4 linked regions of the Caenorhabditis elegans genome follow. The protein of the gene in region 4 purifies or fractionates together with the protein of the main gene of each other region. This does not show direct contact. Each region holds a gene or a part of one and is shown on either strand. Other genes may lie near its edges. The genes, in order: rpn-9, lonp-1, rpn-13 and pas-1.

The links.
Region 1: the proteins of pas-1 (region 4) and rpn-9 fractionate together in Caenorhabditis elegans (co-fractionation; one large-scale study listed by BioGRID). This does not show direct contact.
Region 2: the proteins of pas-1 (region 4) and lonp-1 fractionate together in Caenorhabditis elegans (co-fractionation; one large-scale study listed by BioGRID). This does not show direct contact.
Region 3: the proteins of pas-1 (region 4) and rpn-13 fractionate together in Caenorhabditis elegans (co-fractionation; one large-scale study listed by BioGRID). This does not show direct contact.

Annotation. Positions count from the first base shown.
Region 1 is NC_003280.10:11,234,056-11,240,810, reverse strand, and holds rpn-9 (26S proteasome non-ATPase regulatory subunit 13), read left to right. Parts: upstream 1-1,891; 5' UTR 1,892-1,892; coding exon 1,893-1,987; intron 1,988-2,036; coding exon 2,037-2,616; intron 2,617-2,665; coding exon 2,666-3,052; intron 3,053-3,102; coding exon 3,103-3,204; 3' UTR 3,205-3,364; downstream 3,365-6,755. Other genes in the region: T06D8.9 (Store-operated calcium entry-associated regulatory factor), read right to left, coding at 1-243, 298-686, 739-968, 1,018-1,093; FUN14 domain-containing protein fndc-1, read left to right, coding at 3,492-3,662, 3,715-3,851, 3,918-4,026; cchl-1 (putative holocytochrome-c-type synthase), read left to right, coding at 4,437-4,463, 4,517-4,702, 4,748-4,896, 4,949-5,074, 5,120-5,474; cox-15 (EOG090X04TT), read left to right, coding at 5,864-6,081, 6,124-6,246, 6,600-6,755.
Region 2 is NC_003279.8:10,674,475-10,685,284, forward strand, and holds lonp-1 (Lon protease homolog, mitochondrial), read right to left. Parts: upstream 7,901-10,810; 5' UTR 7,899-7,900; coding exon 7,677-7,898; intron 7,625-7,676; coding exon 7,523-7,624; intron 7,474-7,522; coding exon 7,382-7,473; intron 7,052-7,381; coding exon 6,602-7,051; intron 5,942-6,601; coding exon 5,779-5,941; intron 5,726-5,778; coding exon 5,412-5,725; intron 4,802-5,411; coding exon 4,549-4,801; intron 4,494-4,548; coding exon 4,225-4,493; intron 4,174-4,224; coding exon 3,915-4,173; intron 3,523-3,914; coding exon 3,283-3,522; intron 3,237-3,282; coding exon 2,994-3,236; intron 2,945-2,993; coding exon 2,780-2,944; intron 2,733-2,779; coding exon 2,589-2,732; 3' UTR 2,448-2,588; downstream 1-2,447. Other genes in the region: C34B2.3 (Protein kinase domain-containing protein), read left to right, coding at 1-86, 136-222, 270-350; ttc-1 (TPR_REGION domain-containing protein), read right to left, coding at 804-1,070, 1,122-1,223, 1,735-1,863, 2,204-2,329; spcs-1 (Signal peptidase complex subunit 1), read right to left, coding at 8,148-8,213, 8,259-8,414, 8,471-8,566; sdha-2 (Succinate dehydrogenase [ubiquinone] flavoprotein subunit, mitochondrial), read right to left, coding at 8,904-9,302, 9,354-9,543, 9,587-9,854, 9,899-10,573, 10,619-10,771. UniProt on the Caenorhabditis elegans protein: ATP-dependent serine protease that mediates the selective degradation of misfolded, unassembled or oxidatively damaged polypeptides as well as certain short-lived regulatory proteins in the mitochondrial matrix.
Region 3 is NC_003281.10:6,338,164-6,345,059, forward strand, and holds rpn-13 (Proteasomal ubiquitin receptor ADRM1 homolog), read right to left. Parts: upstream 3,766-6,896; 5' UTR 3,761-3,765; coding exon 2,882-3,760; intron 2,836-2,881; coding exon 2,670-2,835; intron 2,625-2,669; coding exon 2,529-2,624; intron 2,298-2,528; coding exon 2,218-2,297; 3' UTR 1,950-2,217; downstream 1-1,949. Other genes in the region: Very-long-chain 3-oxooacyl-coA reductase let-767, read right to left, coding at 435-767, 817-945, 990-1,339, 1,514-1,669, 1,747-1,792; C56G2.9 (DUF4604 domain-containing protein), read right to left, coding at 4,368-4,543, 4,593-4,785, 4,838-4,869, 4,918-5,008, 5,086-5,124. UniProt on the Caenorhabditis elegans protein: May function as a proteasomal ubiquitin receptor. May promote the deubiquitinating activity associated with the 26S proteasome.
Region 4 is NC_003283.11:14,419,770-14,426,132, reverse strand, and holds pas-1 (Proteasome subunit alpha type-6), read left to right. Parts: upstream 1-3,514; coding exon 3,515-3,586; intron 3,587-3,635; coding exon 3,636-3,972; intron 3,973-4,030; coding exon 4,031-4,362; 3' UTR 4,363-4,567; downstream 4,568-6,363. Other genes in the region: rrsr-1 (Ribosome biogenesis regulatory protein homolog), read left to right, coding at 1,129-1,229, 1,284-2,021, 2,075-2,237; rpoa-12 (DNA-directed RNA polymerase subunit), read left to right, coding at 2,835-2,961, 3,010-3,127, 3,189-3,303; dhs-22 (DeHydrogenases, Short chain), read left to right, coding at 4,706-4,794, 4,843-4,969, 5,093-5,682, 5,738-5,933; set-31 (SET domain-containing protein), read right to left, coding at 6,109-6,311, 6,358-6,363. UniProt on the Caenorhabditis elegans protein: The proteasome is a multicatalytic proteinase complex which is characterized by its ability to cleave peptides with Arg, Phe, Tyr, Leu, and Glu adjacent to the leaving group at neutral or slightly basic pH.

The sequences.
Region 1 (6,755 bases), on a different chromosome or scaffold from region 4:
GTGCCACCGTAACCAGAACTTGAGCGCATTGATGAAGTAGAAGGTGATGACCAGGAATCGGAACTTGAGAAGCCTGTGTCTTGGAAGAATCCTCTGTTGTATCGTGGACGGGCGTAGGCATTGTTATTGTTGAGGAAGCTGGATGCCAGGTATCCTCCAATGGCTCCTAGACTTGCTCCAGTCCAAAACGATCCACCATTGTTGGCGCCACTGCCACTTGCTCCTCCGCTAGAACTTCCCTGACTGAAAAACTTAATTTTAATGAAAATAAGGTCATTTTTATTTAAAATTCCTTACCATCCACCTCCAGATTGCGAGTCACCACGGAACCCATATGGCGGTGGCTTGGAGTAGTCGTCATATGGTGGAGGAGCACTTGGATAACCACCTGGACCACCACCTCCTCCGCCGGATCCTGGGCCTCCAGGACCTCCTGATCCACCAGAAGTGTAGCCAGAGCTTTCTGGGTTCTGATTTCTGTTAGTCCACATCGCGTAGATAATGTAGGCGATGAAGGCGACGACGACGAACGTGGCGAACTGATCCCATCGATCCTGGGATGACTTTCGAGAAACTGATCTGTTACCGCTCGCAGAATTGTACTCGAGCTCATACTCCAACCCGCAAGATCCTCTCAGGATGTATGGATCCTCTGCGTAATCGTATCCTTCACATGAAACACTGATCTGAAACAAGAAACATTTTTTGAAGCGAGATGGAAATATTTAAAAAACTAACGGATCCGAATTCCATATCATGTGGCAAATCTGCATCACATCTCCACTGCACATCCGAACCATCAAAACCTTGATTTGCACACTGAACCACCTTTGGGGTGAAGGCACCTTTCGCGGATCCACCGACACACTTCAACTGGAAGGTTGGAGAAACTCGTCGTCCTGTCGTCATTTTTCCTTTGTGTAGAGTAATTGCTGATACATCGCGAAGAAGAACTTTGTCAGAGGCCGCTGAAATTCATTTGTATTATTGAAACAAATAATCAAAAGAAAAACTTACCAGAAGTTTCGAAGAATACCACTGTGAACACCAGAAGCATCCATAAAAGGAAACTCGTTGTAAATCGAGAGATCATCTGAAAAAAGAAACTAACAATTAGGAATTTTGAACGAGTAATCAATAGAAAGTAGTATGAACATTGAAATAGTACCGGAAGATAAGAACGAAGCACCAGAGATTAATTTTGAAGCGTTGCAGTGAAAGGGAGAAAAGATGATAATGAAGAAAACGAATGATAGGATATGTGACGTGTAACAACACGGAATTTTCAGAAATTTCGAAATACTTGGATCATTTTTTTGCAAATCAAGAAAAAAGATAATACGAGAATAAGCGAGGAAAATCTATTGGATGGACACAATTTTACAGCAACGCCTTTGTTTGACATAATTTTTATTCAGAGTTGCGATTTTTATCAGATTTCGCTATAAACCAAGAAGAAAACACACAAATCTGGAAGGAAAACCTGAAAAGCTGTGTTGCCAGCTGGCGGATAAATCGAGAAGGGTGTTCGCACTTTAAAAACAATATCTTCTGTTAAAAAACAATAAAATAAATTAAGAAAAATAAATTGTTGCAAGCGCGCCCTATCGCATATGTTGAAGAGACTGTAGACGCAGACATATGGCCGTGACCGAAAACATTGTCTTTCGCGTCTCGATATTTCCAAAGTGAAAGGCCATGCGCCTTTAATTGCTGACAAATAAAATTCAAAAAAAGTTTTTTGTTTTGATTTTTGTGAGAGCGCGCTCGCCAAAAATGTTCATTTTAGCTATTCGAAATCCATTTTTGTTTTGATTGCTCCTACTCCTTCATTTTCTTTCTTCTTCACTCATTTCTCGTCTCAATTTTTAATGTATCGAGAATTTCTCAGGATGACTGCTCAAGACTACCTCAACGGAAAGCTGGCGGCTGCCAATGGACCTCTGGCCGATGACTGGAAGAATCTCAAGGAGCTCTGGGAGAAAAAGTAAGAATCAATTGTTTTTGTAGACACAAACTATTTCACTAATTTTCAGGCTCTGGCATCAACTAACGGTTCTGACACGATCCCTTGTGAAGAAGCCACAATTTGTGGCTTCAACGGACATGCACGAATTCTACAGACTGTTCGTGGCGGAGTGGGAGCTGCGTGTCAACCCTCTTCAGCTCGTCGAGATTTGCATTTCGATCGCCCAAAATATCGCGACAAAGGACAAGCAAAAATCTATGGAATTCCTGTCAAAAATTGGAAACGTCATCAACAAGGACAAGATTGCCGTTGCTCGACTTCATACCGGAGAGATTGAAGCCAGACTGGAGAACAAGGACAAAAATGGACAGATTATTGATCTGAAGAGCATTCGAACTCAAATCGATTCGACACAACACGAAGTGGACTCACTTGTCGGAGTTACAGAAGTTCATGCCCCGTTCTACCGCGTCTCATCTTTATATCTTCGTGAAGTTGGAGACTTCGCTGGATATTATCGCGAAGCTCTTCGTTATCTTGGAGTTGAGGACGCCAATAATCTGACAACAGAACAGAAGCAAGTCCATGCGGTTCTTCTCGGTTTCGCTGCTCTTCTGGGAGAAAACGTGCACAACTTCGGAGAATTGGTTTGTTGAAACTCTCAATTTAAATTCCCCCAATAAACGGTTTTTTCAGCTTGCTCACCCCATCCTCAAATCGCTCGAAGGAACTCGTGAACGCTGGATCGTGGACGTGCTTCTTGCCTTCAATTCGGGAGATTTGACGCGCTTCTTCTCGCTCGAAGGAGATTGGGGAGGCTGGGACGATTTGAAGAAGCAAAAGGATTTCCTGACTGCCAAAATCCGTCTGATGGCTGTCATGGAACTTGCAGTCTCTCGTCCAACCAAAGCCAGAAGCGTTTCATTCAAAGAAATCGCCACGAAGTGCCAGATCCCATTCGACGAAGTTGAGTTCTTGGTGATGAAGGCGTTGAGCAAGGATCTCATTCGTGGAGATATCAATCAAGTTGAGCAAGTTGTCTACGTGACATGGGTGCAGCCAAGAGTTTTAGATAATCCTCAGGTATAAGAATTGATTATAAGTTTTTAAAATACTTATTTTCTTTTTTTCAGATAATGCAAATGGCGACTCGCATTTCCGCATGGAGGAACGATGTCAACTCCATGGAAGGAATCGTCAGCAAAGAGGCACGCGAGATTCTCACTCAAAATTAAATCATCTCATTTCTTTAATTTATTTTCTCCATGCTCCCCCATCCCAATCCCGGAATCCTCTATTTTTATAATTACACTGCTACGTGTATTCTACAATTTCAAGATCGTTCAGTCTTCTTTCTGTGTGTATTTATTTGAATTCATAAATTAATCGACTGTGAATATATTGAATTTTCTCGATGTCAGATGTGACTAACACCGTGTCAATAGTTCACTAGTACTTTTCAATACTTAACATTCGGGTTCTCTTCGTCTTCGAGTAATGTAGTACTGTGATTGTTCCAGCCATGGTTGATCTTTCAAAAAACGACGGAGGCAGTGGAAAAGCCGGAAAAGGTGTGAGTGATGCCATCGATACAGTCCTCTACTACGTTGTTGATCTGAAAAAGCAGCAGCCGATGGTCCAGCTGGGTGTTGGTGCTGGATTCGGGACAGTGACTGGATATTTTGTCACCAAGGTATTTAAAATTGGTGGTTCTAGAGAAATATTTAATTTTTAAATATTTTCAGGGAGGACGTCTTGTTGCTGCCACAGTGGGAATCTCTTTCCTGTTGGCTCAATTCGCTATTCACAAAGGATACATCACGCTGAACGAATCAAAAATCGAACGAGACATGAAAAATCTACACAAGTCCGTCATGAACAAGTAAGCTTGAATTTTACGAAAAAAAAATAGAATAAAACGAAAATCGTATATTATTCAATTTTTCAGAGTATCCGGCAAGAAAGTTATCAACATTTCCGATTCATTTGTCTCCGAATACCGGTGGATTCTTGGCGGATTCGCAGCTGGGATGCTGATTGGATTTAGCGTCGCCTAAATGTGGAAAATTGTGAAGCTTCAGTTGGTTTTTATCTACGATCTGTACTATTTATAATCGAGTTGCTCGATATGATGCATAAATAACTTTTTCTCACTCTCCATTGTCTAGTCATGCTGTCTATTTTTTTCTTCACATTGACTGATAAATTATACACCCTTACCTTCTCATCTTTTAATTCTTGCAAAACTTATGGTTTATTCCATAACTTTTCTCTTTTTGAACTCGATTTTGTGCTGAAAATTTTTTGAAACGTAAGTTTGCAACGACACTCCGTAGTTACGCGGCCCGTATGACGCGTAGTTTATTTTTAAGGCCTTTTTTCTCTAGTTTCATCATTTCCGTGCGCCACCTGCCTATTTAACCGTCATTTCCCCAACTATAGTTTAGTTTTCAGATAAAATTACATCATGGGCTCTTCACAATCGACGCCAAAGGTGAGTTTTCTATAATTTCAGTTAAAAGAAAACACGTATGAATTTATTTTCAGGTGCAAGATGCCAACGCCGATGCTGAGAGAATTCGTAAGGCTCAACACAGCATGGCTGCTGCTGGAGGAGGATCTCAATGCCCATTAACACCTGAACAGAGAGCTGCTGCATCTGGAGAGAATTGTGGAGCTGGTGGCGCTTGCCCGGTTGGTGCTGACAAGGCTTCTATCAATCCACTCAACAATGTGAGTTCAAAATAGAGTTTTCTGAAGCCAACTTTGAAAATTCAGGAGCTCGAACATCCAAATCAAAAGCCAGCCCCAGATCAGCCATTCGCACTTCCAACGAAACGAGAGAAGTCTACAATCCCGAAAGCTGGAACAGAAACTGAAACCTGGACCTATCCAAGTCCCCAAATGTTCTGGAACGCCATGCTGAAGTGAGTTTTTGATTGATAAATGTTTATTGTTGATTTTAAATTTGAATTTCAGAAAAGGATGGAGATGGCAAGATGACTCGCTGAGCAAAAGCGACATGGAAAACATTATCAGCATCCATAACGCTAACAACGAGGAGGCATGGAGAGAGGTGTTGAAATGGGAGAATCTTCTTCATCCGTAAGCTCATGAAAATTCCAACATCTGAATAATTTATAATTTCAGGGAATGCGCAGAGCCGAAACTGAAAAGCTTCAAAGGAGATGCCAAGAACCTATCGCCAAGAGCTCGTTTCCGCAACTTGTTCCTCGGATACGATCTCCCATTCGATCGTCACGATTGGATTGTTGATAGATGCGGAACCAAGCAAGTTCAGTACGTCATTGACTACTACGATGGTGGTGCTGTGGATCCAAGCTCAAAGCTTTTCACTATTCTTGATGTTCGACCGGCCGTGAATGATATTGGAAACATCTGGGATCGAATGGTTGTTGCTTATTGGAGATTCAAATTCGAGACACTTGGATTCACACCGAGCCTGCCGATTCCACCAACTGAAGGACACAATGTCAACCATTAATAAGTATCGCATTATCATCAAAATTATTTCCAATAATTTACCCACCGCTCCATAAGCCTAATAACAGTTTCGCAATTAGCATATTTCGTAGATAGATTAGTGTTCTTTTTTTCCCCCTCGTTATCATTGTTTGCTGTTAATTGTCTTTTTTCTCCGCATGGAGCCCCGTTTGCTCATGATCTTTCAGTGTCTTCCGTCAACTACCCGTTACTTTACTGTGTTCCACCGAAATACCGTTTTTCCTTCTTTTCTTATCGATTCTCCCAATGAAAAATGGTCTGGTTATTCGGAAAGTTTGAAATTTATAGAAAAGCGGAAGAATAATCACCCTAGAGATCTTTAGATATCACAACAACAGACAGTTGTCAGGTTCCAAAAATTTAGAAGCCATGTGGCTGCTAGCCAGCAAACAGCTGACCAAGTTCTCCCAACTTCCAAGAGTTTCTCTGTTGAGCCAAGGAATCCAGAATGTGAGGCAAGGATTCCGAAGAAACTTTGGAATATCGGTGAAAGATGTCGACGACAAATCCAGAAAACGCATCGGATGGTGGCTTATGGGATGTGCTGGAATGTGCTACGGTGCTGTGGCGCTTGGAGGAGTCACCAGGTGCTTATTAATGTATTTTTTCAACTAAATATAAAATTTCAGATTAACCGAATCAGGACTGAGCATGGTGAACTGGGATCTGTTCAGAACGATGAAACCGCCATTCGGACAGAAGCAATGGGAAGAGGAATTTGAGAAATATAAAGCTTATCCAGAATATAAATAGTAAGATAAAAAAGACACCAAATTTTGCGCCAAAACTACGGTACCAGGTCTCACCGCGACAATTTTCGTTAAATGAGAAACGGCGTGCGTCTTTGAAGAGTACTGTAATTTCAAAATTACGGTGCTGTGAAATTTTCGTTGATTTTTCATAAATAGTTTTTTGATTAAATCATTTGCAAACTATGAAAAATCAATAAAAATTCCGTCGCAACGAAAGTTTCAAATTACAGTTCTCTTTAAAGGTGCACACCTTTTCTCATGAAACAAAAATTGTCGTGTCGAGACCGGATACCGTATTTTGTGGCAGAAAATCGTCTGGAATTCAAATTGAAAATAAAAACGTTAATTTTCAGCAAATCCTCAAGCGAAGAGATGACACTAAACGAGTTCAAATTCATTTGGTCAATGGAATATGGCCATCGAATGTGGGGACGCGCCATCGGTATCGTTTTCCTGATCCCGTGCGCCTATTTCTGGGCTCGTGGCCGATTCGCACCGGATATGAAGCG
Region 2 (10,810 bases), on a different chromosome or scaffold from region 4:
ACTATCAAAAGTTGTGCCGAAATGGTCTTCAAATGCGTGAAATGCTCGGAGGTCTTCCACCAGAATTCGTCGACATTATGCAAATAGTAGGCAACTCCTTTGCAACTTTTCCCCTAACAATCCATTCTTTTTCAGGTTGACAAACTTTCATTCACCGACACTCCGAACTACACAGAAATCTACGGACTTCTCACCAACGCGATTCTCTTCAGTGGCAAAAATGTATGTCTTTCACACAATAAAAGTGTTATCATTTATCATAATTACAGGAATTCCCGTACGATTGGGAGGAGGCTGAGATCAACGAGTTCAAGAATCCGCAGAAGCCAAGTGTGGAGCAGGCAACCTAATAGCTCTCTTTCTATGGAAATAAATTGACTTTTTTGAATATTCAAAGTGTTTTTATATCTTATAACGTTATTCCATAAACTCCCAGTACAATACATCTACAGAACTAGAGAAAAGAGAGTTCAAAGATCAGAGATCAAACTACATATGAACAGAACGAAACTGCATTTTATATGTAGTTACATTGTAGTAAACGATATAATTTCATTTCAAAAGATGAGTTATCATATATTTAGGAATGACCCTTTTGTAGATCCCCTCCATCCCTGATACGGTAGCCTTAAAGTTTCGATCTTTTCGAGACCAGAGAACATTTTAGTGTGAGCGATTAAAATTTCACGAATACAAATAGAAATGTTCATTTTAATCTTTAAAATCACGAAATTGAAAGCAAGAAGACTATTAACCGGAATGCAGATAGAAAATGTACAGAAAATTCAAAGAATGTCGGCCAATTATGCATTTTCCTCTTCTTTCTTTTCCTGACTTGCACCTTCTTGTTTATTCGTAGCACCTTTCATTTGAACCGAAAATCCTCCATTTCCATTCGGGACCATCTCAAAACTGTCTGTCGAGAGCCCAAACGGCGATAGACAGAAATTTCCGAAACCCTTCAGTTTTTCCATCACATCGGCTTTCATCGCCTCATTTCGATTATTAATTTTCTCATTGATTTCAGCGATTTTCCGATCAAGTTCGACGCGGCGTTTTGGAAGAGATTCCTGGAAAAAGTTTACTTCTAATTTCAAAAAGAAATCTACCAAAATCGATACCTGTAACTGTTTATAATCTTCAATAGAATTCTCATACTTTTCTGACATATTCGAGTATGCAAACGCCCGTCGTTCCAGTGCTTTCTCGTTGGTTGCTCCAATCTGAAAATTGATTTTATTTGTTTCAAGCTAACTAGCTAATAGTAAGTCGCAAAATTTTGCTATCTAAGGGTCTCAACACGAAAACCGTTTGTTAAATGCAAAAGGACGCCTTTTGAGGATTACTGTAGTTTCCAACTATAGGAGCCGGGTTTTCGATTTATGAGAAATTAGTTTTCCGACATTTCGATTTTTTTTTAATTTTTTGAAAAATATCTTAAAATTTTGCCAATTTTTCCTCTTGTAGAAGATAATTATGTGTTTCCTGATGTTTTTTTCGTAAAAGTAAACAAAATTTGATAAAGAAAAGGATTTTTTTGTCAATTTTCAAAACCCTTTTCTTTTTGATTTTCAGGAAAAATGAAAATCGAAATTTTTGTTGGAAATTTCAGAAATACTTAAAGCTGCAAACTTTTATTCATTTTAACGCCAAATTTTAGTGACAAGGCCGTATTTTGTGGTCGAAATTGGGAAAATTTCGCGTCTGTGTAATATTTCATGCTCTCTTCAGTACCTCAATTGATTTCGACGCAGCTTCCACAGCAGATTCCCATTTTCTTAACTTGATAAGTGCAGCTGCTGAATTTGAAAGAAGAATCGATTGTACTTCTGTGGATGTTGGAGGGCACGAGGCAATGGCTTCCTGGAAAAATTTCAATTGTATACTGTCGAAATAGACCGATCAAGCCGTTAATTTTGCAAGTCTGCGGCGCGTTGTATGCATGTAGATTTACGAAGAATTTTGTACTACACTCGGACAAGTGGGGATTTTTTTTGAGATGATTGTGTAGTTTTCAGCTAAAATTCTTGTTTGTAATTTTTCGATATTTTTAAAAATCAAAATTTTTGTTTTTCAAATTATTGTTTTCTTTACTATAAAATTATATGAAAATTGAATTAATACTTGTCCACGTGTAGTACAAAATCCTGCGTAAATCGACAAGCTTCAAACCGCGCCGCACGTTTGCAAAACATTCCAATACCTGATATTTTTCATTCGCCTTTTCGAATTCTCCATTCGCAAAGAAATTATTTCCTTCTTTTTTCAATGAATCCACTTTTGTTATCTGATCCTCTTCATCCTCGAAAATTTCTTCGATAATTGCCATTTCTAAAGCTGAAAATAATGGTTTTTAAATAAAGAGAATATTATTTAGAATTTAAATGAAAAATATTTGAAAAGATCAAACAACTTGAGATTATTAAAATTAAAAAAAAAACAAAAATAAAAGTAGGAAAATGTTTATAGCCTGAACTTTTTTCTTTTCAAAACGTTTTTAAAATAACAAAACAAGAAAAAATGGATTAGGTGAATCAACAAAATCTATCTGAAAGGTATTAACTGGGGGTGAAAGAAAGGGACACGTATTATTGGAAGAGATGCTCGTAGAGCTCATCATAATGCGAAACGAATCGAATATCCAACTCTGATTTCATGAATTCTGGTAAATCATCAAAGTCTCGACGATTCTCATTTGGAAGGAAGACTCGTTTTGCTCCGACACGGCGAGCCTGAAAAAAAATGAAATTTTTGAACGAAAAAAGAACAGAGGACCCACCGCGATCACTTTTTCCCGAATTCCACCAACTGGCAGCACTTTTCCGGTTAATGAAATTTCACCAGTCATCGCCATGTCCTGCACAACAGGTCGGTCTAAAGCGAGTGAAAGAAGACTTGAGACAAGAGTTACTCCTGCAGATGGTCCGTCTTTTGGTGTTGCTCCCTAGAAAAATGGAATTGGTTAGTTGAAATTATTTCAAGATTAAGCTCACTTCGGGTACATGAATATGAATATGTGCTTTATCGAAGAATTTGTTATCGGGTTGCTCTCTTGCAAGAATTCCTTTTGCAACAGTCAACGCTGTTCGAACACTTTCTTTCATTACATCTCCTAAATTTCCAGTTGTTTCAATACTTCCATCCTTATCATTTGTCAAATCAACAGGTCGTTTCAATACAGTTTCAATATAAAGTGCAGATCCACCCATTGCTGTCCATGCGAGACCCATTATCACCTGAACGGAACGTGAATTAAGTTTTTAAAACAGTTTTTTCGCTTACTCCAGGCGGTGTTACTTCATACATTCGATCTGATGTGAATTTGGGTCTTCCAACGAACTTTTGCAAGTTTTCTGTGCAAACTACAATTTGTTCGGCTGAAGATTTTAAACAATCTGCAGATGATGTAGAGGTGATTGGTTCGGCTTCTGAGTTTTCAGTGATAGCAGTTGTTGCTTTTTCGGCTGGCTCCTCATCCTCGTTTTGTTGTTCAGCAATTTGAAGAGCTGCTTTACGGAAAATCTGGAAAAAAAAGGTAATTTCTATAAGCAATCTAAATATAATTGTCGAAACAGAACAATCAACTCGAGGCGCGGATCTGAGACCCGAAGAACTCGGGGGATGTCCAATTGGGGGATTACCAACTCGGGGGATTGGCCCCGCCCACAGAACCGTGGCTTGCAATACGCCCATTTCTGCAACTGCCGCACGGTTTAAAAATTATTTTTTCTTGTTAATTCTCGCTCTATTGAGAAAAATACAGTTTTAAAACCGTGCGGCAGTTGCAGAAATGGGCGTATTGCAAGCCACGGTTATGTGGGCGGGGCCAATCCCCCGAGTTGGTAATCCCCCCAATTGGACATCCCCCGAGTTCTTCGGGTCTCGCGGATCGTCCTGTTTTTACCAAAACATACTCTTTCAATATGTTGCTGTAAATTTCTGACTCCAGATTCACGACAGTAATGCTTAATGAGCTCTTCCAACGCAGAATCTTCAATTTTCAGTTGTTCTGTGGCGAGAGATGTGTCTTTTCTGAGTTGAGGAATGAGATGTTGATGAGCAATTTCAACTTTTTCCTCGGCTAAATAACCGCTAACATCAATCATTTCCATTCGATCACGAAGTGGTCCCGGGATTTTTGAAATCTCGTTTGCCGTGCAAATGAACAAAACTCTGAAAATTAGAAATAAAATTATAGAACCAAGAGGAGAAGCATCTTCAAACCTAGACAAATCAACTGGAACATCCAAGAAATGATCATTAAAATTCGCATTTTGTTCTGGATCAAGAAGTTCCAAAAGTGCCGATGCGGGATCTCCATGGAATCCAGCTCCGCCGATTTTGTCGACTTCATCGATAAGAACAAGAGGATTCTCAGTTTTCACTTTCTTCATGCATTGAATCATTTTTCCAGGCATTGCACCGACATATGTACGACGATGTCCCTTGATTTCTGCCACATCAGTCATTCCACCAACTGAGAAACGGAAATACTGCAAATGTTAGATTTAATTTTAACAAGAGAAAGTTTAGGAAAAAAAACTGAACCTCTCGATTCAAGGCAGTCGCAATTGATTTCGCAATAGAAGTTTTTCCAACTCCAGGTGGTCCATGGAAGCATAGAATCTTTCCACCAATTGATTTTCGAAGTAAATTGACTGCAATAAACTCCATAATTCGTTCTTTAACATCTTTCATTCCATAATGTCCTTCATCAAGAGCTTTCTTTGCAACTGAAAGACGACGATTCTCGGGTGATGTAAGTCCCCAGGGTACTGATGTCAACCATTCCAGGTAGTTTCTGAAAAAAAACGGAACTCAATTTTTTTTTTGCTTTAAAACATTTAAAATAGTCTGACATTCAGGAAAAAATGCACTTAAAAATGATATTTTTCAGTTTTGAATTTCTTTCAAAACGAGAACTGTAAGACCAATCGGCGAACCAATCAAAAGGAGTGGGCGGAGTTCCTGGTCGTCGATCCTGTAGTTCTCATTTTGAAGAAAATTAAAATAAATAGATTAACCAAAAGTGAATAATAGAAATTTAGAAAGTTGGAGTTTTCGTTTAATTTTAAACAATTTTTTGGGGTTTTAATAAAAAAGTTTAAAATTTCTGAACTATTATTTTTTTTTATATTCCGGAAAATTGAAATTTTTTTAAATTGAAATGTCGAATTGTCAACTTTTCGATAAAAAAAAACATTTCAATTTTTCACGACATCCAGGAGCTGGTTTCTGAACACTTCATAAACAATCCGGAAGCTTTTGGAGAAATTTTGATTTTTGGAAAAAGAATTCGAAAAAAAATTCGATTGGAAAATTGGAAAAAAGTTTACTTTTCCGAGCATTTTTAGCCTTTTAAATGCATATATATATTTTTCTATAAAACTAATATAATTTTCAATATCTACCTCGTGACACTAAATTCACTGGAATGCGGATCCAAAAACTGCAACTTTGTCTTTTCTTCGTTAATAACTTTCAATGCATATTCTGGAACTGCCAATGTTTTGATTCTTTCATCAATTTTCTCAATAATAGTCGTCTTCTCATCCTTTTCAATTCCCAACTCCTTTTTGATTACTTTCAATTGCTCATTGAGCAAGTATTTCCTATGATGATCCTGAACCTTCTTCTCAACATCTTTATTGATATCATACTTCAATTTGGCAACTGCTTTCTCCTTTTGAATCAGAAGAAGAGCAATTTTGAGTCGCTTTGAAACCTAAAAAAATAATATAATTATTTTCATTTAAAAAAATTTAAATTTAAATTTACATCAATTTCATCCATCATTTCCTGAAGATCTTTTGTTTCTGCAGATTGTACAAGAGTTGCAACAAGATCACATAGATAAACTGGATTATCGATTACATTTTGAGATGGATGAAGTAGAAGATTGATTTGTTGACCGAAGAGTTGATTGAATTGTACTACATCTCTGAAATAATATTTGAATTTAGGAAATTGGAAACTCATAAAATCAAAAAATAACTTTCGGAATCAAGGTTTTTTTCAATTTGCAGGGGAAAAAATGCAAATTTTCTATATTTTTTTCTCGAAATATACACAGTTTTTGTTGAATTTATAGTTTTATCCTTTTTTCAATAATTTTACTACAATCTTTTTCGTTTTTTTTTTCGATTTTACTTTTGGCCATTGTAAAATACATAACATTTTGCAGATTATTTCCGTATTTTCGATTCAAAATGATTAATATACATTTTATTGTACCCGGTCGCATTTCTCCTGTTATTCAAAAAAGTGTGCGCCTTTAAAGATTACTTTAATTTCAAACTATTGTTTTTTTCGGAATTTTCGTCGATTTCTCATAGCTTTTCACACAATACACACAAGTTTTTTATAAATGTAATGACACAGATTTTATTTTCGAACTTTGCGATTTTTTTTTAATCTTATGTATATAATTTTCAACGAGAATTTATGATAATCGATGAAAATTTCCGAGCAACGAATATTTGAAGTTACAGTACTCTTCAAAGGGATATATCCTTTTTAGATTACAATAAGTTTGTCGTGTCGAGACCGGGTATCGTAATATTGAGGTACAAATGGCTAAATAATCGCAACTTGATATTACCGAATCGTCTGCACAATGGCCATCATCGTAGCCTTCGTTTCATTATTCTTGGGCACTGGCTCTGCAACAACATTCTCGGTTCGAACCATAATAATTCCTTTTTTCTGTTTTTCTCCAGTTGCTGATGGTGGTGTTGTCTTCTCTTCTTTCTCTTCTGTTGCTGAAATTTCTGGAGCCACTGAAGCCACTGAAGGTGCAAGTGGAGGTGGTGATGGTGGTGGAGTGAGTGGTGATGTTGCTGATGCTGCACGCTTTCCACGAGCACGTCTTCCATTCAATGGAGTCTCATTTTTCGGTGTAATTTCGTCAATTGGTTCAAGAGCACGAATTCTTCGATGAGCACTGAGTACCAGCTCAAGAACACTTCCCTGATCACGGACTTCGATAATTTGAACGAAAGAACCAGTTGGGTAGACTTCTGATAGAGATGTGATCGTTTCTTCTTTGTTTCTGGAAAAAAATATACTAATTTGCGCGGGAATTCAAAAATAATTCAGCAATTTTAATCCATTTTTTGTTGCAAAATTGAAAAAAATACAAAACAATTTTGAAAAAGTGTATAAATTTTTTAGAAGTTATAGTCGGTATATAGAAGATTGATTTTTTTCTGTTATTTGATGATTCCAATAACAAAAATGGTTCCAAATCAAAAATATCAGGCAAAAACTGTAAAAGCATTTCCTCGGGGAGTACACGAGCTCCGTATATCAACACATGACTAGTTTTTCGGCGATTGTTCCATTTTTAAGTCAAGAAGAGATCCATTCAAAAACTACATACTCATCGTCTCTCTTCACAAAAACTCCAGCATACGGCTGTTTCAGTGAAAGCTGTCGCCTGATCAGTGCTTTTAAATTGTCATCTTTCACGATCTGAAATTTTAATTTTCAGTTTTCCGCCAAATACGTTATCTAATCTCACATCAACTTTCTTGATAAATCCTGGAAATAGTGGATATCGATTGATAGCTAACATTGGGACATTTGGCATATCGGCTGGCACTTGAATCGGTGACATTCCTCCCTGAAAATCAATTAAAATCGTCTTTTAATGACTGAAATTCTAAAAAACTTACCAAATCTTTGTACAGTTCCAATGAGTCATCCACAGCGATTGGATCGTCATGAGTGGAATAAAACCTCCTTTCTCCTGAATTTCCTGCTAATTCCATAGATTTCATCATTAAAATCGATTGATTTCTTTGAGAAAATGTGGCAAAGCTTTGATGTGCTGAAGCAGCGGCAAGAAGCCGCGTGCGAGTTGCCCCGCGGAGTAAAACCGCTCCAGCGCGGTACATTTCTGTTGAACGGGGAGTAGGATAGGAGGATTCAAGACTTCAGAATAAAAAAGTAAAATGTGTCGCATTAAAACGTCAATAAAATATTAAAATCGTTGTAGATTGAAAATGAATTTATTATGGTTCAGAAGATGATTCTTATATCACACAGAAAAATGAAGAAGAGCTCATAAATAATTTAATTTAAAATAAATATTTGACCAGATCCCGAGTAAAACGTTTTTCTTTAGTTTTTGCATCATTGCCGATTTATTTCGTCTTCTTTGTCTCCTTTTTCTTGTCTCCAGATTCTTGTGGTTCCGCAGGTGTGTGCCACTGAAAATTAAAACATTTTATACGATTTCTGTAACTTTTTCTCACCACAATCGGGTTCTTTCTGAAGAGGAATGGCCATGGTGGAAGAATGATGAGAGCTGTGAACGCAGATGCTCCCAGCACTGTGAACATGGCATATGAAAGCTGTTGAGTCCAGAATCCAACGAGGAAGCCAATAATTCCAGCAATAGTGAGGATTACCTAAATTTTATTGCTTTATTTTATGTAATTTCAGTCAATCAATTGTGGTTTGTTACCTGGTAAGTTCTCTCGGCGACTTTCTGTCCTTGAAAATCAATATGCGACGATAGTTTCTGCAGTGGAGCAGGGAGCATTGCAATCATTCCGTCCATGGTTAATTATGTAATAATTAAAAATCAAATTCAGTTATAAAAATACAAAAAGATTAAAGCAAAACGAATTCGGAATAATTTTGTTCCAACACTCCTTCATACAATGACGTAAAATAGAGATTTTCCATGGAGCGCACTTGCACATTTCATATTTTGAAGAACATTTGCAAATATTTGTGGATTGAAAACCAGAAATAAATCTTAAATAAGCTTAAATTGATATATTATTAAATTCAATAAACTTTATTCTAATCAGGAAACAAATAAATTTCACACAAAAGAAAAAAACATACAGCTCGAACACAATTATGTGAACAAAGAAGAACAAAACAACGAATTAATACGATCGGACCTTTGGTGGAACCCAGTCGGTTTCAGATTTATCGAGAGTTTTGTCGATAACTGGGCGGTATGTCAAATCAACAGCTCCAGTTTTCGTATCGATACCGATGATGGAATGCTTGCGCCAGTGCTGATCAAACGGTTTTTTCTGCTGTCCCTCAAGTGGATTGCTGTAGTCATATTCGTCAATTCTTTCTTGGAAATCATCACGAGCGTGGGCTCCACGAGATTCAGTGCGATTTTCGGCGGCGACGATGGTTTGATTGGCGTTGATAAGCAAATTCTGAAGCTCGAGAGTTTCGACAAGCTCCGAATTCCATACTTTTCCAGAGTCGGCACACGCCTTCAAATTTTGTTGCTCTTTGTAGATGGAGGACATTTTATCGACTCCTTCCTGAAAATATCCAATATTTTTTGAAAATAGAATAAATCTGTATTTACTTACCTTCAAAAGATCGCCCCGTCTGAAAACAGCAGCATGTTTCTGCATTGTCATTTGCATCTTTTGTCTTAATTCGATAGATGAAATATCTCCTTTTGAGTGCAAAAGTCCGTTCAAATTGTCACACGATTTCTCTTCACAATTTACCGGAAGCTCCGGGATTGAATCTCCTGGTTTGTTCTCATTAAGGATACTGAAATCTTTAGTTTAAACCTGTTCAGATAAATGAAACTAACGTGAGAGCGCAAGATCTTCCAAAGATAACCAAATCTAGAAGGGAATTTGCTCCGAGACGATTTGCTCCATGAACTGAATGTGCTGCACATTCACCAGCGGCATAGAGTCCTGGAATCACTTTATCTCCTCCTTCAGGTGTGAAATCGAGAACTTGTCCCTTGTAATTCGTAGGAACTCCTCCCATGTTGTAGTGAACAGTTGGAATGACTGGAATCGGCTCTTTGGTTACATCCACACCAGCAAAGATTTGAGCGGTTTCCGAGATTCCTGAAAGAAAATTATTAACAATTGAAAACACTAATATCACGTACCTGGCAATCGTTGTTGAAGCTGTTCAGCTGGAAGATGATGCAATTGAAGGTAAATATGATCTTTGTTTGGTCCGACTCCTCTTCCTTCATTAATTTCCATAGTCATGGCTCTTGAAACAACATCTCTTGACGCTAAATCCTTGGCATTCGGTGCATATCTTTCCATAAATCGTTCTCCTTGCGAATTGACCAAATATCCACCCTCTCCTCGTGATCCTTCGGTGATCAAACATCCAACTCCGTAGATTCCAGTTGGATGGAATTGAACAAACTCCATATCAGAATTACGAATACCTGCACGAGCGGTAAGAGCGGTTCCATCACCAGTACAAGTGTGAGCAGATGTACACGAGAAGTAAGCTCTTCCATAGCCTCCGGTGGCGAGGACAGTGTTCTTTGCGCGGAAACGATGAATCTGTCCAGTTTCAATGTCCAGTGCAACGACGCCAATGCATTTTCCCTTATCCATAATCAAATCCAAAGCGAAATACTCGACAAAATAATTACAGTCGTATTGAAGAGATGCACCGTAGAGGGTATGAAGAAGTGAGTGTCCAGTTCTATCGGCCACACAGCAAGTACGGTGAGCCTGTCCTCCACGACCGAAATCATTAGATTGACCTCCAAAAGCCCGTTGATAAATTTTTCCGTCTGTTGTACGCGAGAAAGGCATTCCTGCAAGAAAATTGTTGTTTTTTAATGTTAGAGAATCTTATTGACCGTAATTTTCAAGTTCAATAATAGCTCTTTCGGCTTCTCGAGTCATATAGTGAATCGCGTCTTGATCTCCAAGCCAATCGGACCCTTTTACAGTGTCGTAGAAGTGCCAGCGCCAGTTATCTGGATTCATATTTCCCAAAGCGGCGTTCACACCTAAAAATCAAAATTTAAATTCTGTTCGTATACTTTGAG
Region 3 (6,896 bases), on a different chromosome or scaffold from region 4:
CTACTTGTTGATGAAAAGTTTCAAAAAATTTCAGAAAAAATTCAAAAAATTTCCGAAAAAATTTCCGAAAAAAATTCTAAAAATTTCCGAAAAATTTCAAAAAATTTCCGAAAAAAATTCTAAAAATTTCCGAAAAAAATTCAAAAAATTTCCGAGTTGTAGCCTACTGGGTTTAATATTTTGTTTTTTGTCTCTTCGGGGTTCTATTCATTTTACACCCATTTTAGAACATTATTCTCTGCTGTTTTTCCAGTGTTTTCTTAAACAATAAAAACCATTGCGTGAAGCATTGTTGGGTTACTGTAATGTTAGGGAAAGTTTTTTTCCTTCTTTCGAACAGTTTTAGTAAAAACAAAAACTTTATATAACATAAATAAATAGCAATAATTGAATGGATTGGACTGATTTAGATTCTACAAAATAACGTCGAGAAATTACTGAGATTTGGCTTCTCTTTCCTTCTTTCTGAGAGCAGCAGCACGAGTTCCGACACTCATATTTGTGAGGATCTTGTCGCGGATGAATGTTGGAATGAGATCCATGAGCTCGAGTTGAAGTTGATGCGTGATGTATCCGGTGGTGTCTGAGGTATTTCCAACAGTGTTCAGAGCTGATTTAGCGAACACGGCTCCGTCTGGAGTGAAGAATGAAGTTCTCTTGACTTTTGACATCTTTGTGGCGACCATCATTGGAGCAATAGTTTGGACAGTGATTCCTTGATGTTCATATTCTTTTCGGAGGATAGCGGTGAGCCAGGAGACATACTTCTGGAATAAAATTATAATTAAAAGACGGAAGATATTTTGAAATTCAAACCTTTGTAGCTGAATACACAGCCCAGAGAGCCATTTGATTTGCTCCAGCTGAAGATCCAACATTAACAATGACTCCAGCCTTTCGTGCGACCATTTGTGGAAGGATTCCGGCGGAGAGCTGAGTTAAGAACTTTTTCAGTAAGATCACAATAGTACAATTCTAATAAAACTCACCAATGTTGGTGGAAGAGTGTTGATGGTGGTGATGTTTGCAAGACGCTCGATTCCACCGTCAACTTTGTGAAGTACATCTGGATATTCGTAGCTCATTCCAACGTTGTTAATAAGAACTCCGATCTCTACTTGGTTCAAGGTGGCGAGAAGATCTTTGTAAGCAGAAGGAGCAGCGTTGGTGAAGTCGAAGGCGGCAGTGCGGACCTCAATGCTGGAATACTTCTCGAGAATCTCCTTCTTCGTCTCATCGAGTTTTGATTGGGTACGCGAAACGAGCAGGACATTGAATCCACGACGAGCCAATTCGAAGGCGTATGCTTTTCCGATTCCGTCAGTGGCTCCGGTGACAACTGAAAAATGTATTTTTTGTTTGAAATTCAAAACAATTATTTTATATTTACGCAACAATTTTTTCATTGCAATTTTATTATCAATTGAAAATGATAACAGTTCCAGAGAACCAAAAGTAGTTCTCTGAGTGCTATACGATAAGACATCACCAGAGTAAAAATATAGAAACGAACCAGCCCAAGAAGCTCCAGCTCTTTTCTTCAAATCGATTGGCGACAGAAGAACGTATGGGCCCAAAATATTCGAGAAAATCGTCAAAAGACGATAAGCCACAGCTGCAAGAGCCACGTATCCGGCTCCAACCAAGAAGCACTGGCAAGCCATGTTACCTGGAATTTACAGAATTTCAATGGAAATAACAGGCAGAAAAGATGCAAGGTGCATAAATTATACACTATTTATTTACCGTTTTCAAGATTATCTATATCATGTAAATTGTCAGACGACTCCATTATTTCTTGTAACTATTTATTTATGACGAAAACATATGAAAACTAAAAATTTTCATGAGGTCACGTTTTTACTTTTTTGAAACTCATGCACTCCAATAAACTTTGAAAAATATAAAACTAATCGCTACTATTACGAGTTCTTTCCGAAACTTTCAAATTGATGGTAAAAAGGGTTTATTTGCAGTACTTTACAATGAATAAATAAGTTCTCGAAATGGAATAAAAATGGGGACGTCTTGAAGGTCGAATAAATGAAAGAGAGCGAAGAGAAGTGGTCGATAAACATCGCTCTACTATCTTATCACACCATTTCTGGCATGATGAAGAAATACTAAAGGGACGAGTCGGAAAAAGAGGAACACGGAGAACACAGTTTAAGGGGGAATATGCACAAAAGTGATGAAGAATTTGTTTATTCAGAGAGTTTAATCGACATCCATATCTTCGTTGTCTGGACGGTTGCGCTTTGGCTCTGGTTCGCGAGTGGCGTCATCGTCCGAGTTTTCTGCAAACAATTAACAATGGTTATTGATGTTTTTATCAAAAGTACAGAGGTTTACGGTACTGTAAAAATTGTTTTTGAAATAGCAAATGGATAGGTGTTAAGTGTTAAGAGCAGCAAAATTTTACAAGGAATGGCGCAATGGTCATAGTGCGAAAGGAAACAAAAGGACAATCACAATTAGTGACATATTCAAAAATGAGTAAAAACTCAACAACTGAGAGTGCGCCGTACCTAGCCGAGACACCGTTGCCGCAATTGAGGGGGAAAAGAAGCCGAGATAAGCGGACGGCATCACAGCTCTCCGGCAGATCGGGTTATCAACCCGTGCTGAACGAACGTGAGACTATGTTTCAGAATTTCAAGTAAACTTACGAGTCTTGGCAGCATCTTCTCCTCCCTCAGCCTTTGTGAGATTAGCAGCAAAACCACGAATATCACCTTGATTCGCGGAGCCAACTGTGGCTTCATCCATTCCGAACTGTGCAACTACTGGCCCGAGTTGACCAGTTTGAAGTGCATGTCCAAGTGTATCAGCAGCCTGAAAATAGAGAACAGTTAAAATATAATATGCTTTAAAAACCAACTTGTCTGAATTGCGGAGTTCTGACTGTCTCAGAAAGCTCCCGGGCTGGATCATCAGAAGTTGGAAGATGCGGTGCGAGCTCTTCAGCGTGGTTACGAGCAACTTCAGCAACCGTTTCATTCGACAGAGCAGTTGCCAGAGAGACTGCCACCTCTTTCTTTTGTGAGCGTCCCAAGTTGTTGAAGATTTGTTGAATCGCCGGGTTATTCAAGGAAAGTGGATTTGAAGATCCTTCCTCAGCTGCATTCGTCGAAGGCTCGCAGTCTGCTTCTGACGATGCGTCCTCTCCTCGAGGCACGGAAGAAATTGGAAGAGTGTCAGAGTTTCCGCCTTGCAGAGATTGAATCAATGACATCAATTGCCCTTGATCGATGCCTCCAAGGGGAGCATTCATGTCTGAGCTAGAGATAAGTGATCCTCCAGCAGACTGACGATCAGTGTTTGCGTTAGAACCAGCCGATCGGGAAGCAGCTGGACGAGATGTCGGCGGCTTGTTCAGAGCGTCAGTGACCTTCTTCACAAGATCCTTGTCAACGTCTGGTGTTGAATCTTGAATCCAAAAAAGCTTCATATCTCCAGATTTGAACTTGAGCATATACACTTTGCCATCAGGGCATCCAGGAACAGCTTTGAATTCAGCGTCATCGGGGAAGATTATGAGGTCATCAACAACTGCGCCAGTTTCACGATCCTTCCAGCAAAAGTGGATGAGCATGTCGTTACTTTGCTTAATGAATACCAATCCCTTTTTGGGTTCAGCAACAACTTTTCTCATAGTATCTCCGGATCCAGCTTCAAGGCGAGAGCGTCCAGCTTTGAATTCGACAATATGGCCAGAAGAGGAAGCGACCGAGCGAGTATTACTGAACATAGCAGCCATCTCTGAAATAAATAAATGAATGTTTGATAAGGAAGCTGAAAATACCAAGATGAAAAAATAGAGAACAAACTTGCAAAATTACGAGGAATGAATATCACAAATAAACTGAAGTATTGATAATTGATTTGGAAAGTAACATGTCGGACAGAAACAAATTATTTCCCGTCAAAAAAAATTAAATTCAAATAACTAGTAAAAATATAATGTCTTTTTTAATATTTAAAAGATAACTCGAATTGAAGAAACAATTGTTAACAATATTGTTCCAAATTTGGCTAAAAAAGGATGACTTTTCTCGTGGTGCATTTGCTCGTGGTGTTCAGTGCTTGCGTACAAAACGCTGTTTCCGAATGCACACCGTACATGCGATATTTTGTCACGTTTTGTGTTCTATTTTTCTGTATTTAACTTGTCCTCCGCTCGTTTTAAGACGAATTTGCCTCATTATTTTTTTACCCAATATCTTAAAAATCAAACCACTTTATTCAATACATTATTTTGACAAAATCGGTCTCTGCAAAATTTGAGAATGCCAATTACCGATTAGTATTAGTATTTTTAAAACAAATTCACTGGGTATACACGATGAGTATTAAAACATATTAGTTTAGTTGTCAATATCATCCAGTTCAAAGCTGTTTTTGCTCTTTTTCTTCATCTCCTGAGCCTCCTTCATCTGAGAGAATGGCCCACTTGCCGAACCAAGTGAGGTCTTGCTTTCCTTTGATTTCAATGTTTTCGTTTTACCCGTCTTCATAGTGGTCGAGTCGGTTGTGATGTCAACTTAAAAAGTAATTTTAGATGTCTACGTGACTTTTTTTTAAAGATCTACCGATGTTGCGCATCATAGTTGCTGCCTCAAAGATCCCGAGACCAACATTTTGGGGACTTCCTAGTCCTGGAGATTCCAAACTATTGCTCCGCTGCGAGGAAATCGTTTCCTTCTCTTTCTCCACACCACCCTTTCCTACATTCAGCGACATCGTTGACGGTTTTTGGTCGCTTTTCTTGATAGATTTTCTTTTCTAAAATTTCAGATAATCAACTATTTTTTCAACAAATTAAAAATTGACTTACCGGGTTCTTGGTCTCCATCTCCGACATGTACTCTGATAGATTGATGATTTTATGAACACTTTTCCTTCGGTTTAACTCACTTTTGTCGTTTTTTGCCTGATCCGATAGTTTCAGATCACGAGTTTTTGCATCCAGGTCATCGAAGATCAATTCTCCATTCTTCTCGGTTCTCTGGAACATTTTTTTCTGATTGAAATTCGTAACCTTGTCGGGTAACGGTTCGTTTTTGAATACAGATAAGAACAAACCTTTGCTTCTTCCTGCTTCTTCTTATGCTCGCTGAACATGGTGTTAGCCGTTAGATGGTGTAGTTTGTAGCAAGTGGCTGAAGCAAAATTGAATAAACCTTTTCTCACGATATTGAGAAAAATAATTAAATCTGAATGCTCAGCTCTAATTTTTTTGTAAAAAATTTATTTGATCAGAATAAGAAGTGATACGCGACTACCAAGAATAGAAGAAAAAATGAAGGGGCGAACGAGTTATGTGTTGAACGCCACAAATTAAATGGAGAACACTAATTTGTACTCGAATTTTGCTTTCCCGTTGACTCATGACAGTGGGAAAATGGGTGGGAGTTTTTCATGAAACTACACGAGATTTATGATAGAAGTTTAAAAAATAATGTCCTACTCAGTCTGAAAAACATTCAGAAAATTTTGGTGATTTTTTTAAATAAGAAATTGTCCAACAAAAAAGACTTTACGAGGATGCAAATATACGAAAGAAGCCTGTCTCGTTTAAAATTACTATTGGGTTCTTTTCAATATTTATATTTTTAAGTCCTTCTAGGGTCATGGAATGTGGCTTTGAAGACTCTTGTCATTCTCTTCCTGGATTGATCGTGGGAAGACCCACAAGAATAAGCCCGTTCTCAAACTTGAATTAAGAAAATTTTAAAGCAGAATGGGATAACCCGAAAAAATTTCAGTAGCTCAAACTGAAAAGCTAATCAGTCCTCGTCGTCGTCAAGAAGTAGCCGTGTGAGTGATTGGTTCAGCTTCTTCGGATAAGCGCTTGTTTGCCGGCGTGGGAGTCAACGGAGCCATAATCAAATTCTCGGATTTTTATTGGAGCTCCTTCACCGACGATTTCCATGGTAACTGACTTATTGTGAGAAATAGGAAAGAAAATCTGGCAAAGGATATACATAAAAACAGAAAAAATGAGGAGAAGCAGCAGTCTGAAAATCGCACTTCTTGGTAGGGGTTAAGGTAATGTAGAGACGTGGGAGATTGAGGAAAAAGTAGATAAATTTTTTCAGGTTTTCATTGTTATATGTCCAATTAGAGTGTGCAATACTTCTTATTCTGGTGCAATATAATAACTGAATCTTAAAATATAATACCGTACTCCGCCTAAACCGACACAGGTAAATGAAAAAATCCTTCTAAATAAAAATCCGATTATTTCCATGTTCCTTTTCTTACTTCATGTTTTATTTTTTAAATTCAAACTTTAGGAATTTAATCAGAATATTTAAATTCATAACTTTAATTTTTAAAACAACTCGAAGTTCTTTTCGCGAGAGATATTATTCCGAGAATTCTCTAAAATAATCTTAATTTTAGAAATCGTATCAGTTTAAATAGTTTAGGTAAATACGATAAAATTGTATAGTTGTCCTCCAACATTCAGTTTTTAAAGAAACCGACAACAACATAATTCCCACCACGTGATCTTGTTTGCGTGAGAATTTTCTCTTAACACATTTATTGTCAACAATTTATTTTTTATTTTCAACGTGAATTTGATCATTCAAAAATCGATCGATAGACATTTTATTTCAATAATTTTCAAGCGTTCGTGTAAATAAGTAAACAGAGTCAGTTTTGCGTGATCATTTCCCATCCGATTCAAGAAAAAATTGTTTGCCAAAGTTCTCACGCTTGACTACGGTAAGTTTTTGTGTGCAATCTGCCGTCGAATCGAATGTTTACACCATCTGCCCTTTGTATGACTCTCTTCGTTTCCCACACTATTTCACTTTTCTCTGCTACTGACTCTCAGACAAACCCTGAATTTTAACTGATTTCCTCTTGTTTTTCCACTGTTTTTT
Region 4 (6,363 bases):
CTCCAAAGTGTTGTTATTGATGTTACACCCTTTCTTCTCAGTAATTCATCAAAACTCTTTTCCTCGCTAATTTGTTTGATGATTTATGAGGGAAGCGGGGTGTGCAAGTTTCGCGCATTTCGGCTTTCAACACAGAAAAATCACTAATTCGTTGATTTATTTTTATGTGAACTTTTGTCGTAACAAGTATCAGGCGGCATCGTTTTTGTGTTGAAAGTTACCGTAAGATTCAAGGGTTTCATTTCGATGTATCCTAAATCTGGGACAATAGAATTTTATGGACCACCCGGTTAGGAGTAAACAATACCCAATAAAATTTAATAATTGAGCTGCCTTCTGCGGTGGAATGTATGCTCCATGATGACATTTGTATCTTTGAGAAATATGTTAGGGATCCAAATCATCAAAATTACTAACTATGTATATGGTGTATTGTTTCTATATTTCTCATTGGAAATTTGAGCTGGAACAGAGAATTTTCTTCATTTTTATTTATAAAGGGCGCTGGATAATTACCGAAAAAGGGAAATTTTTGAGCCTCAAGCATTTTAACCTATGAAAGATAGTTTCATAAGAGTTTTCAGATTAATCGAGGTTCTTGAAATCATTTAATCAGGAAAATACCCACATTACTCACAGAGATCCGCTTTCAGACGTTATGTTCTCTCTGATGGTCTGATTCTACTAATTTTAAATGTAATTTATTTTTTAATTAAAAGCTTGTAGTGGTTTGTTTTACTTTACATAATGTGCTCACATTTTCTTCGTATTTTGTGAGAGATGACGAAAACTACAATAAAAGAAAAATGCGTGCGGTGGCGTTGCAAAAACCACGCGCACCACTTGCAATAGAAGCCACGCCCTTATTTCCTTTGTTTTATTTTTCGTTTTCAGCTCTTTCAGTTCTCTTTTCAAATGATTTACCTGTTAAAATTAGTCAGAAAAATTAGATTTCGGTTAAAGTTTTGATTTTCTTTATAACAGTTATACGAAAATTGGTGCCGATTGCTGTTTAAGCTTCAGTTCTGAAAAGCTGTTTCTATAATACATTCGCACTGTCTTTCCCGTTCAGTTGCAGCGTTTTTCTACTTTCAGTAGTTTCAGTTAATACTTTAATGTTACAGAGAAATGGCTGACAAATCGACGGAGGTTGAAAAGGCCATTGACCCAATCATTGACTTGGGTAACCTGCTGTTTATTGATCGAGAGCCAATCCAAGGAGACGCAAGGTATATTATAGAATTTCGTTATTAATTAAACCAGCAAATTTCATAATTTTTCAGTGAAGGACTCGAGGAACGTGCTAGGAAGAACACACAACTCCTTTTCAACAACATCTGGCAGCTGGAGCAAAAAAGAGTAGAAGAGGCTATTATTGTTACTCTCCCTCCCGCCACTTACCGTCTTCCTCGTGAGAAACGATTGCCAGAGAAAAAAGAGCCGACGAAATGGGAGAAATATGCTGCTGAAAAGGGAATTGAGAAGAGAAAGAAGGATAAGAAGGTGTTCGATGAAGCGACAAAGGAATGGAAACCGACCTATGGATACAGACGTGGAAATGATGATACCAAGGATTGGCTGATCGAAATTCCTGACAACGCAGAAGATCCGAACAAGGATTTCTTTGCTGAGAGACGCGAAAAGAAGAAGGAGAGAGTTGCAAAGAACGATATGCAGAGAATGAAGAATCTTGCTCGTCAGATGAAGACAACAGTCAAGAGCGGTCCATCGACAGAAAAGATGATCGGAGTAGGAGTCGATGCCAAGGAAAAATCAAAGCAACAAGTTCGTTTCGCAGTGGATCGTGCAAAGCTTGCCACAGCTTCCGCTGGAAAGTTCCAGGAAGGATTGAAGGGAGAGAAGGCCAACGTGAAAACTGGCAAGAAGAGAAAGTTCGAAGCCAACGAAGCTCCAGTTTCTGGCGAGAAAGAACGTGCTCTCCAGATTCTTCAACGAATGAAGTCAAAGAAAGCAAAGATTGTTGAAGAAAAGGCTGCTGCAGTTGCTGGACCTTTGAGAGAGTGAGTAGTGAGAAAATTAGGCCTTTATCGTTATTCAATTCAATTAATTTCAGGAAGAAGGAAAAATCGGAGAGGAAAGGTGCTAAAGATCAAACAAGACAGAAGAGTCAGATTCACAGACAACAGTGGTTCAAAAACAAGGTCGACGGCAAGAAGAAGGGTACTGGTGGTGCTGGAAAGAAGGGAGCCAACAAGGCCAAAGCAAGAAAGGGATAATCTATGTTCTTGTTTTTTATTCAAATTTGTTGATTTTGATTCGTTTATTTTTTTTGTTACTTTCTTTTTTATTCATCAAATTTTAACATTCAATAAATAAATGTTCTGTTAAGTAGAAAATGTTACTTTTCTTCATGAAATGATGTTTTAGTTCTCGATTGTGAATTTACCTGGGATAGGTTATTTTATTAAATTTGTTCAGAGTTTTATATAATCCCAATTATTTTTCTCTGGCATGTTTTTTTTTTCTCTGAATGTAAGAAAGCCAACATTGATTCGCGATTTTCAAATCTATGAAATTAATAGGCGGAGTTTTCTTTGCCAGATCCAGCAACTCGGCCATCTTTCAAACCAAGATAAGTGATTTTAGATCATTTAACAATTTGCCTGTCAAGACTTAATATTTTCTCAACTAGTAAAGTGCTGTTCCCATTTACTCAGCAATCTGTTTCTTCGAAAGTCACAAATCGGTAGTGTCTCAATTTCCAAGCGTGCTCCATCGCACTCCCTTTAAATTTTGTCATCTTTTCGGCGTTCTCATCATTTTTCAACCTTCAACAATATATTTTAGTCGAAACTTCATTAATTCAGCTTAAAATGGCTTTGAACTTCCTCTCATACGACGATGACTTTTGTGGATATTGCGGCGCCATCTTGGAACTACCGGCACAGGCTCCAGCGACGGTCTCCTGCAAAGTATGCTCAACTCGATGGGCTGTGAAAGGTTTCCTGCTTTTAAGATGAATATATTCTAATTTTAAAATGTTTTCAGAAAGAGTAGATCAAGTGGTTAGCCGTGTCGAAAAGATCTACGAACGAACGGTTGCTGATACAGATGGAATTGAAAATGACGAGTCAGCGGATGCTGTTGTTGATCATATTTGCACAAAGTAAGAATATTTCCGGGGATTTTGAAACTGAGAAAGACTGAAACTAATTTCCAACTTTAAGGTGCGGTCACTCAAAGGCATCATATTCTACTATGCAAACGAGATCTGCAGATGAAGGACAAACAGTATTCTATACATGCCTGAAATGCAAGAAGAAGGATATCGAATATTCTTGATAACCTTTCGAGTCTTTATTTTTCAAATCAGATTTTTATTTCTGTTGTTATATATTGTTGAATTTTTGTTTTTGTTTCCTGAATATTCCATTAAGTTTCTTTTTATTCGTTTTTTTTTTCATTTTATTGGTACACTGGTCAATAACCAGATTTCCTATCTTTATCGGTTTTCAAATTAATGGTTGATTTCCACTTTAAAATTTATGTTTAGATGTCTCGTGGAAGCAGCGCCGGATTCGATCGTCATATTACCATCTTCTCTCCAGAAGGACGTGTTTATCAGGTTATAAAATAATAGTTGAATGTTTATAACTTTCCATGCTTGCTTCCAGGTCGAGTATGCCTTCAAAGCAATCAACTCTACCAATCTGACGGCTGTCGCAGTCAAGGGAGCTGATGCAGCTGTCATTGCCGTTCAAAAGCGTGTTCCAGACAGTCTCATCGTCGCTGATACCGTCACTTCGGTTTATCAAATCTCTCAGTCTGTTGGATGCTGCGCCATTGGAATGATCCCGGATGCTAAATTCCAAATCAAGCGTGCACAGGGAGAAGCTGCTAGCTGGAAGTACAAGAACGGCTACGATATGCCATGCGAGCTTCTCGCCAAAAAGATGGCTGATCTCAACCAGTATTACACACAAAATGCGGAGATGCGTAGTTTGGGATGTGGTTAGTAGAAAAATTTCCGAATTCTCTAACTTCAATTATTACAATTACTCAATTTCAGCTCTTTTGTTCATTTCCTACGATGACGAGAAAGGACCAGAAGTTTATCGTGTTGACCCCGCTGGATACTACCGTGGTATGAAAGGAGTATCTGTTGGAGTGAAACAACTTCCAGCGACCTCATTCTTGGAAAAGAAAATTAAGAAGAAGTCCGAATTGACATCCACAGAAGCTATTGAACTCGCCATTGAGGCTCTTCAGACTTCATTGGGAATCGACGTTCGTTCCAAGGATCTTGAGGTTGTCGTTGTCACCAAGGATAACTCCAAATTCACCAAGCTAACCAGCGATCAGGTCGAACATCATCTCAATCAAATCGCCAACCGAGATTAAATATTCATCGACCTTTGTATTTAAATATTTCCCGTTTCAATTGATCCGGTACCCAAATTGAATTAAATACCTGGTTTCCCTTTTCTAAATTTATTTATTGTTTTCTTTACTCCCTGTTTCTCGGTCTTTTTTATCATTGCCCTCCGCCCCTTTCTCTTTTGAAACTATTTATTTATCACTAAAAATCATGATAAAATGATTTTTGAAACACTTCATATTATTCATGTTGACTTTGATGGTGGTTTCGCAATCCCTGTTATTTATTTTTTAGTACGAATTCATTGAAGAAAACTGCAAGTTAAAAAAATTATACATTCAAAGTTTTAACAGACCATCTATTAAAATGGATGGTGCAGATGCTGAAGAACATGGAGGATTCCTCTTTTTTGTGCTCGCTTCATCCGTAGTTTTTATTGTGCTCTTTTTCACAAGGTAATCGATATTTCACGATAGCTAAAACTATAATCTAAAATATTTCAGACGTTACTTTAAAGGAGGTCAATTCAATGAAAGAGTCTCTGCAAAGGGATTAGTAGCCGTTGTGACCGGTTCTAATTGTGGAATTGGATTCGAGACAGTTCGGGAACTTAATTTGAGGAAAGCTGATGTGAGTTACAGAACTAATTGCATTGTTATAATTAATTGCTAATTACTAATTACATAAATTGCATTTGTTTCTAAACAATGCTATCCATATTTAAGTTATCAAGAATAATCTAATTTTTTCCAGGTCTATATGCTGTGCAGAAGCGAAGAGAAAGCCAATGAAGCGAAACGAATGCTCGTGAGACAAGGATGCGATGCCACTCGTCTTCACTTCATTGAATGTGATTTGACAGATTTTGAAAGTGTACGACGAGCTGCCAAGGAAACTCTCGAATCGACTGACACCATTGATATCCTTATCAATAATGCTGGAATCATGTTTCAAAGCAAACACGAGCAAACCAAGGATGGTCATGAGAAAACTTGGCAGAGCAACCATTTGGGACCATTTCTGCTCACCGAACTTTTTCTGCCAGCTGTTAAGAAGTCTTCCTACGCTCGAATCATCAATGTTTCATCTCGTATTCATTTGAAATCCGAGAAAATTAATTTGGCTACTGTAGATGACAAGAAATCGTTTGGAATGATGAAATCGTACAGACAGAGCAAGTTGGCAAATGTTATGCACGCAAGAGCCTTGACTAAGGAATTGAGAAAGGACGGAGCCGAACACGTGACTGTTAACTCCCTGCACCCAGGAGTTGTTAATACCGAGCTCGCGAGAAATACCATTTTGAATACACCAGGAATCAAGCAGATTACAGCTGTTTTCCGGTAAGCCAAGCCAAATTTCCACACTTAACCTTAAAATAAATAAAATTAATTTCAGTTGGTTCCTCATGAAAACCAGCCGCGACGGAGCTCAAACTTCAATCTTCCTTGCATTGGGCAAAAAGATCGGTGGAATCAGTGGAAAATACTTTGCCGATTGCAAGTTGACCCAAGAAAACCCACTAGCCTTGGATGATCAGGCCTGTCAGGATTTGTACAATTATAGCTTGGAATGTACTGGCCTCGCCAAGTAATGTGCCAGCGCAGCTACAATAATTTCTCTATTAAGAATTCATATCAATCCCATTGTAAACTTTAACAAAGGCTTTATATTCAAGTATTTAAAATTAAAATTTCATTGAATGAATAAATATGTAATACATAACAAAACGAAAAACAAAACTAGTTGAAAACATTTTACAGCGAGTTTCACTCGAGGAAATTACCATTTTTTATCTTCCAGATTTTTGGTGACTCTACCAGAGACATGCCATTGAACGTCGACGTCAGTTTCTCCTTCTCGGACTTCTTCTTCGCTGACTGGTCGATATATACAATCTCTCGGCACTTGTGCTCACATTTGCACTGCACGAAGTCGATATCCTTCTCGAGGAGATGGAAGAGTTTGCCGTCTGAATGAGGACATTTATCTAGGAAAACTAATTATCAAGAACGTACCTGGAG